2 linked regions of the Cricetulus griseus genome follow. The protein of the gene in region 2 interacts with the protein of the main gene of each other region in a pairwise test. Links are inferred from orthologs where the notes say so. Each region holds a gene or a part of one and is shown on either strand. Other genes may lie near its edges. The genes, in order: Zbtb43 and Syt6.

The links.
Region 1: the proteins of Syt6 (region 2) and Zbtb43 interact in binary tests that used the Homo sapiens proteins (3 or more experiments, as listed by UniProt). The two-hybrid records come from large-scale screens. The link is inferred for Cricetulus griseus from reciprocal best matches to the Homo sapiens genes SYT6 and ZBTB43.

The regions. Positions count from the first base shown.
Region 1 is NC_048599.1:145,183,967-145,188,502, forward strand, and holds the start of Zbtb43 (zinc finger and BTB domain-containing protein 43), read right to left. Parts: upstream 2,833-4,536; 5' UTR 2,693-2,832; intron 1-2,692. UniProt on the Homo sapiens protein: May be involved in transcriptional regulation.
Region 2 is NW_023276806.1:53,374,123-53,378,471, reverse strand, and holds the start of Syt6 (synaptotagmin-6), read left to right. Parts: upstream 1-1,311; coding exon 1,312-1,474; intron 1,475-4,349.

The sequences.
Region 1 (4,536 bases), on a different chromosome or scaffold from region 2:
TTTTTTTTTAAAATAATTTATTTAACTTTATTTTATGTGTATTGGTGTGAAGGTGTCAGATCCCCTGAAACTGAAGTAACAGACAGTTGTGAGCTGCCATGTGGGTGCTGGGAATTGAACCCAGGTCCTCTGAAAGAGCAGCCAGTGATCTTAACCACTGAGCCATCTCTCCAGCCCCGTTTCTATAGATTCTTGCCTTCCTGCCTGGTCAACCCCCAGGAATGGCCATCGGGACAGATGCTTATTGATCATCTAACAGTCTTAGTGATAACTGACTGACCACTCATTCATTACCACCAGCAACTACCAACTGTAGAGCCAAAGAGAACCATCTCAATCTCCTTCCCTCTAAAACACATAGGGGCCCTCATTTCGTCACAATCATTCTTCTAGAACATTTATTATCCCAAGGAATAATCTGTCCCAGGGCCCTCCTTGACCTTCAAACCTTTCACAATGGTGTAGAAAGGCGAAGGAGCCACATAAATGGGTTTCTCTCTGGGTTCCCTCCCCCTTGTTACTGCTTTCTCTCCATCTTTTCCACTGAGGAATTTTTCTGATTTTCCAGGCTCAGGTCAGGCTCTACTGCCTTTAAAAAGAAGCTGAGTCTAAGGAGGCTTACTTTCCTCGGTTTACTATTAGTGACATGTGCCACTCTGGAAGGGAGTTCTGCTGGGAAAGAAAACTCAGGCAGCATGTCTAAATCTGTAAGATCTTGAAACCCATTCTGAGGGTTCTGGTGACCTAATTGGTCAGATAAGCAGCCCACACAGGAATCTAATTCTTGGGTGGTGGGAGTAGGAGGATCATCAGTTCAAGGTCATCACACTGGGAGTTTCAGGCTACTCCAGGATTCAGACAGTATATATCTCCCAAGTTTGTTTTGAGATAAGGTTTCTCTGTGTAGCCCTGGCTGTTCTGGAATGCCTGTAGACCAGGCTGGCCTGGGAACTCAGAGATAAAAGGCAACAAAACAAAACAAAGAAAAAATCTAAACAACACAACCCCCCTCCCCCCCAAATAAAACCTTGAAAAATGAATGTAAAGAAGGCAAGATTTATAAAACAGAAAACAGACAAAAAACCAAAGGCATAGTCTGTGAAGAAATAACAAGAGCATTTTCTACTCTAATAAAGGGGAATTTTTCCAGCTTCACAAGTTCTCTGCATGTCAAAGGCAATACATTTCTCAAGTTGCCACTAGGGTAAATTTCTGCATTGATTCCAAAGGGGCAAGGAGGGGAAGACAGGTGGGAAACTGCTGTCATCCGATTTAAAGCCATCAGGGTCCCCTGACTCCTTTTGTAAGCCTTCAACTGAACCTGCTGCTATTAAGAGCTTGCATCAATATAAGGGATTCAACTAAATGTTCCAAACCAAGTTTCTAAAGTGCACTGTGGACGTGCTTATACCAGCTTCGGAAGTCTCCAGAGTTCCTTCTGCTGTGTGTATACAGTATAAACACAGCACAAAACTTACCACTGTAACTACTTAGTGTAATGCTATGTTGACATTACATCATTCACACTGTTGTGCCCAATCCATTTCTAGAATGTTCTTACTGTCTCCTAAACTCTGTGCACATTGAACACAGTATCTGACTCTAGCACCTCATAAATTGTTTTCTGTCCTGTCTATTACTGACACTCGATTCCAAAAGTTTTAAATAGTATTTGTCCCGTGTCTCACTTCTTTCTCACGGTACTTTGGAAACATGCAGGGAACGAATTCCTAAATTCTTCCCTAAGCTGCCCCTAAAAATTCTGCTACAGTGCTAAGGATCTCAAGGGCAGATGTCAACCTGGTCCTTCCTGAGCCTGTAGACATGCTGACCTGGTTAAACAGAGGCAGTGCCTGACAGCCCTGGGGCTCCTGGAAAGAGCAAATAACTGGAGAGCTGTGTAGACCACATGGAAGAGAAGTTCAGGATTCACTAGCTGCCTAAACCGTGAGATGGGCCTTCAGTGTGAGGGCCAGGAGCTCCCAACACTTTGTGAGGTTGGGTGACACCGGTCAGAACCGAGGCCAGACTGCGGTCGGGCCACTGAGAATGTCGCCCAGGCGGGCGAGTTTCACGGGGTCATGAGTCACCTTCCATGGCTCAGAGGTCCAGGCAGGGCCCGCCCTGCCTAAACAAACCCAGTTGGGAGGGAGAGAAACAAGAACACAACATTGGCAGAGGGGGAAAAACACACAAATGGTCAAGAAGCCAGTGTGACATTCGGGCCCCGAACCAGAGCAGAGTCAAGAAACAGAGATTAAAGACAAGGTCCCCAGACTGTGAGCTCCAGGGACACAAGGTGGAGAGAAACTCCAGCTGACCAGAGCCCAGTCTGGGGACAAAAACAAGTGACGACGGGGTGACAAAGAGGCGAAACTCGGAGCGGCGAGGTCCCCCCTCCCGGCTTTGGCTCCCGCGTGGGTGGCTCGACCCTGAGGTCGCGGCGCGGGCGGATCCTCCAGGCGCCCCGGCCCGCCGTGCACCTGCCGCGGGGTGACCTTGGACAGGAAGTCTCCCGGTGGCGCTGGAGGCCTCGGGACTCCGAGCCGGGGCGCCGGGGGCTGCGGAGTCGCTGGCGCCGTCCCGCGTCGCGGCCACCGGGGAGGGCTCTGGATGAGCACCCGCGTCCCGGACGCTCGTGACCCCGACCGTGACCTCTCGCGCGGCCGCCAGCCTCCCCACCCCGCCGTACCTGCCGACGGCTCCGCGCTCGCAGCTTCAGCCTACCGGAGCATCCAGTCGCCCGCACTAAGGCCTTATTCTCCGCCGCCACCACGGGGACAGCTTCCGCCGGAGCCTCCCGCCCCCCCGGAAACGCTTCCCGGTCCCGCCCCCGAAACTGCCAGTGCTTCCGGAGGCGCGTCCGCGACGCTGAGGTGTGCGCATGCTCTAGGAGCCCTTTCTGGGAGGGTCTTCAGGGGGCGGCCGGGGCCTGCGCAATAGGACGTCCCGCTGGTCACGTTTCGGGAGGCAGGCATAAGAGTTAACTGATTTCGAGTTCGAAGCTCTTAGGAACTGCGAGCTAGCTGAGCGGGTAAAGGCGCTTGCCGCCAGGCCTAATGGCCTGGGCTCTATGCTTGGAGCACACACGGTGACAAGTGAGAGCTCACTCCACTCACCCCTACAAAAAATAAAATAAAATAAAAGTTTCAGGTTGGCTTTGAACTCATTATGTAGGTCGAGTTGGCCTCAAATTCACTCCTGCCCACACCTCCTCAGTATTGGGATTGCAAGGCTATGTCCCCATATTCGTGCTGGACTAGACATTCCTGTGTCTTGGGTCCGAATTTAGGGCTTCCCAGCTCTGCATCTATTTCGGCTCTGGGACCTAAGAATATTCAGAAAGAAGGCTGGGACTTTGCGAGAAAATTATACACAGAGATTCTGGGGAGGGCTGGAGAGATGCTCAGCAGTTAAGAGCATGGCTTCTCTTCCTAAGGACCTGGTTTCAGTGTCCAGCGCCCACGCGGTGGCTCTCAGCCTCAGTAACTCCAGTTCCAGGGCATCTTTCGCCCTCTGCTGGCACTGGCACCAGGCAGGCAAACAGTGCACAGACAAGTATGCAGGCAAAACAATAATACAAACAAGACAATTTAAAAAAGAAATTCCGAGAAACAAAACCATAAAACAAAACAAAACAAATTCTTGAAGCACAGAACTGGGGACAGGTGCAGAACATCTTGCTAGGGGGGAAAAGTGTGGGGATTGAGGGAATAGCTCAGTGGGTAAAATCTTTGCAAAGCACTGCAAACATGAGGACCAGAGTTTAGTCTCCAGAAACTAAAAACAGCAGGTGTGGTGGCAGGATTACAATCCTAGTGCTGCGGAGGAAGGGATCAGTGTCTTTGAGAGCAGTGAGAGAGGTTGCCTAAAAGTGGATGGAGGCCAGGCAGTGGTGGCCCACACCTTTAATCCCAACTCTTGGGAGGCAGAGGCAGGTGGATCTCTGTGAGTTCAAGGCCAGTCTGGTCTACAGAGTGAGTTCCAGGACAGCCAGGGCTACACAGAGAAACCCTGTCTTGAAAAAACAAAAGGAAAAACAAAGTAAAGGAAAAAAAAAAAAAAGAGTGGATGGCATTCCTGAGAATGACAATCAGGTTGTCCTTTGACCTTTGGCTTCCACAACCACCCATATACCCACATATACATGAGCACATATACAAATACACATGCGGGCTGGAGAGATGGCTCAGAGGTTAAGAGCACTGGCTGCTCTTCCAGAGGTCCTGAGTTCAATTCCCAGAACCACATGGTGGCTCACAGCCATCTGTAATGAGATCTGGCGCCCTCTTCCAGCCTGCAGGGATACGTGCAGACAGAATATTGTACACACCATAAATAAATCTTTAAAAAAAAAAAGCCAAATACAAATACACATGCATACAAAAAAAACAAAAACATCAAAAAACAAAAAACTGGGGCTGAAGAGATGCCTCAGGTGATAAGCTTGAATACAAAGCCAACTTGGGCTGCATAGGTAGTTCCAGGTCAGCCTCAACTACACAGTGAGACCTTGTCTCAAAGAGCAAAACAAAA
Region 2 (4,349 bases):
CCTCAGCGTTTTCCTTGCTACACCCGGCCCTTCCTGACTGGGGTTTGCAATTGTAACGGACCTGTGATGAGGCTGGTGCAGAAGGTGCACGATGGGGATCGCCTGGAGTTGGCGCTCCGAATCTCCTCCCTCCGGAACCTGAGTCACAGCCTAAGCCACTTCCAATTAGCGTGTTAATTCGGAGGAAAGACCCTCCTCCCCGACCACTCTCCGTTGCACACTAGCCCCGTAGTTGAAGGTGCAGGAGGAGCTCCAGCTAAAGTTTCTTTCCAAGATGCCACCTCGGGAAGGTGACACATTGGTGATAGGTGAAGGACAGGAATCCACCGTGATAGAACCTTACCGGGCTCGGTCCCCTGGCAGTTAGCAATGGCTCGCAGATTTCCAGGGTTAAGTGAAGCATCCCAACCATCCTGATTCTGAGTCTCACTTCACGGTTCCCGAGGGGAGCTCCTTTTACAGTCTAGCCTTCTATTTAGTTTTCTGTCTTTCTGGCCCTTTTTATGTATGCTTCATAGACAAATATATTATTTCTGGTGGCTTTGGTCTGATGCGTGGAGGTGGGTCTGGTGGGAACCGAACCCCTTCCTGAAATGCTCCCCATTTCTATTCACCAGAAACTTTCTCCTCCCGTTGCCATGGAGAGAGACGGCCGCTGCCTCCGTCTCCATAGCAACGTGCCGGTGCCTCGGACCACAAGACTGTGGGGCTCAGAAAGTCTTTGCAGTTCCCCTCGCTCCGCAGTCTTGGGGTCTTTTATCTCCCAAGCTGAGACTTGGCAAGTCTGGCTAACTTCTCCTATCAACAACCTTGGCAGGGTTCTCCCGCCGTACAGTCTGGCCATCCCTTTTTATGTTGTGTTATTGCGATGCCCACTTGTGTGACATGTGGCAATTTCCCCAACGTTTTCACAAGTACTACCTTTATTCCCAGGGAACTCATGAAGTACCAGTAATCATTACACCTCTTTTACGAAAAGGAAAACTGAGTCCCGGAAAGGCCCAAGGTCACCTCCGCGGTGCTTGCTCGGCTGGCCTTGAATCCTGCACTGTGTGGGACAGCGGGGTTGGAACCTTCCCGGACTCGGGCAGGTCCCTGCGTGTGGAGGGGGCGGTCGAGAGGCGCCAGACTTGCCAGCTGCCGCGGGATGCCACGTGAGGGGCGGGGACCCTGCAGGGAAGTGATTAAAAGCAGAGCCGAACCGCAGGGGGCCGCTGCGGGGAGGGTCTTCTTGGGGCCGCCTTGCCCCGCCCCAGTCCGGCCGTGGTGTGGGGTGCGAGCCACTGCTCCTCAGACCTGAGTGTACGGGGCATGAGCGGGGTTTGGGGGGCCGGAGGGCCTCGGTGCCAGGCGGCGCTCGCGGTCCTGGCCTCTCTGTGCCGGGCCCGGCCGCCCCCTCTCGGGCTGGACGTGGAGACTTGTCGGAGCTTCGAGCTGCAGCCCCCGGAGCAGAGTCCGAGCGCGGCTGACTCAGGTACCAGGAGACCCAGAGCCCCCTCCATTCCTGGATTTTCACACCGGTGGCCTCCCCTTCCCAAGGCACCGGCCCAAGAGCCCCAGAACCTCAGAAGTCTAGCTTGGGGTACCGGCCTGGGCCAGTCCGATGGCTCGCCGCCCACAGCAAGAGATCCGAAGGGGACCCCGGAGAAGAACCCCTTCTCCCCATCACTAATGCGAGAGCTCCGAGATGCGGCACCCATGCGTCCTCAGTTTCCCTTGTGTCTCTAGGCTCATCCTAGGGCCGATCGGCCAGAGCCGTGGAGAGGGAGACATCCTGGGTGCGGAGGAAAGCCCGAGTCCTCCGGGGGTTCCAAAGTCCAGGGCCCCTCAGTGACTGGGTGAAGGCGGGTCGAGCCCCTAGGCTTGGGAAAAACTTGCGTCTGCAGCTGGCACGCGGTCTTTGTGTCCAGGTCTCTCAGCAGCGAGTGGCTGTCTGCGTCTCGCCGGGGGGCTGGGGCGGGGTGGCGTGGCGTACTCCCCACCCCCCGGCACCCCTATAACTCGCTCTCTCGGTCTCTGACTCACTTGGACTCCGGGCGGGTGCGCAACTGAGCCGGTGCCTCTCGCCGACTTTGCCAGGCGGGAACCTCCTGCCCGGGAGGTGCGGACCTTGCGCCGGACGCAGCCCCGGCAGCCGCCGAGTCTAGGCGGCAGCCTGAGCCAAGTCCAGCTCACCGGAGCTGGTGAGTCCCGAGCCCGAGCCCACTGGGGAGGGTCCCGCGTGCAGCCGCGACGTCTCGCGGGAGTCGCGACAACAGGGGTGGCGTGTCGCGCCCTGGCGGCGGGAGCCGCGGGAGTGTCCGCGGCGTGGCAGCCGACCGGCCCGGGTATGTACCTGCTGCACCAGTCTTTGCCGCCAAGCAGCTCTCCCGCTGCAGCGGGATCCTTTGTCCCGCAATTAGGAGGGTCCAGGACAGAGCGAGTATGGGTCGTGTACCTTCCGAGCAAAGGGCCCGGGGCAGCGCGAGGCCCGGAGTGAATGCGGCGTGGGGGTGGGGAAATCCTGCAGAGACTGAGGCGCTGGAGTTCCTTGGGGCTCCGCAGACTCACTGAACCTTGTTCTCGACCGAGACCCGGACTCGGACCCTAGTGGCTCTGGGCCTAGGCTTAAGTGGGAGGTCGCTTCGTGGTTCCATATGGCTGGCGCCGGAAAGAGGAGAGGGGAATGCTAGAGGCAAGAAGATGGTCTCCACTTGTCTCCAGGGACAAGTGGCCAGGGACCACAGGAGAGGTTCTGGGAGCAGGTGCAGGCTGGGTAAGCTCCCCAGTGACCTCAGACTCCAGACCCCTGTTTCCATTTGAGGTTAAAGGTCAAAGATAGATGTAGACTCTAGGTTAGGAATAGAGCCTTCAAGGGAGGGGTAGAGAGGCCGGGGAAGACTGTGTGTACCCTCTAGGAGGCTGCTTGAAATCCAGCCTTGTGTGAGTGGAGCCCACCTCACATCTGTGAGTCATTAGGGGTGCTGCTTTTCTCTCTGGCCTTCTCTGGCACTATTTAATCAATGAGTTGATGACTGCAGCAGAAAAGACCAAGACTTAAGGAACTTTTGCAAGTAGGACCGTGATTAAAGTTGGCTCTCCCTCTTTGGTATTCTCAGAACAGATTAGACTGTCATTGGACACCGTTTCTCTGGTGACATCTCCTTCTCCCCCCCACCCCCCAACTCCATACACTTCCAAGACAAAAATTTCCTCAAGTCAGTCTCTTCCTATCTCCCTCCTTTCCTTTAGCTCCCTCCCATCTTTTCCTCAAGCGCTCCATCTGCAGTGGAGTCTTCCCTCTGGGCTTGATACCTCAGAGAATGGAGGGCCAGAACACATCCACAGAGTTCTGCACTACTACTTGTCCACCGCAAAGATGCTGGGGGTGGGGGTTGTTGTGTGTACCTTTGGGGGAGACACTGGTATTGATGCTGGGGGCATTGGAGGTTGTTGTGTGTACATATTGGGAGAGACACTGATATTCTGATTCCCAAAAGATTCCTTGAATCTGAATTTCCAAGCTGAGATGAGTGAAGCCTGGGCAAGAGACAGGGTACCACATGAATCAGTACCCTGGCCTAATGTGAATTTGAGTTGTATAAACTGCCCTGACCCCAAGGAGCCTTAACTTGATTAATGTGTCTGTCACAAGCCCCAAGAAATCCTGAGGCCAAGTTAGGACAAGAGATGCAGGCAGACAGGGAGCTGGATCACACCACGAGAAAGTGGCTCAGCTGGCTCCAGGACCTTGGGGATTTAGGTGAGCAGTAGGTCTACAGAGATGCAGTGTTCAGGCCAGGGTGCCAGACCTTCCAGGTCCCAGCCTTCACTTTGTTCTCTATCTAGGATCTGATTCTCCAACCAAAGCAATGCTAGATTTTTCCCCAGTTTTATGGGGAAAAAAATGCAAGTGGGCAGAGTATGCTCGGCTTCCTTCCCCATCTTACCTTTTCCCCTGCCTTCTGCCAGTTCTGAAGTGTCTAACTCCCAGGATTCCCTGAGCTTCACCAGTTGAGACTCAGAGTCCACTGCCATTTGCACAGACCTTCCCATAGGCCAGGGTCTGGGCAAGGAATTGCATCAGAAATCTCGATGAATCAGACCCTGACTTGGAAAGATCTATACTGAAACTTCTCAACTAAAAGCAAACTCCCCACTTTCTCTAAAAACCCTAAGGATCACCAGTCTGCTTTCTTTCTTAATATACTCCTTATATGCCCCCTACACTCAAATAGTCACCAGCAGGCCTTTCCTTTGGTCATTTTCCTTAAAGAGGTGAATGAACTTTATACATAGCCCAGTTACAGAGGGAAAAGTGTGCAGCAGAAATCTAAGAGTGTTCTAGAATATGCAGGAACCTGAAAGCT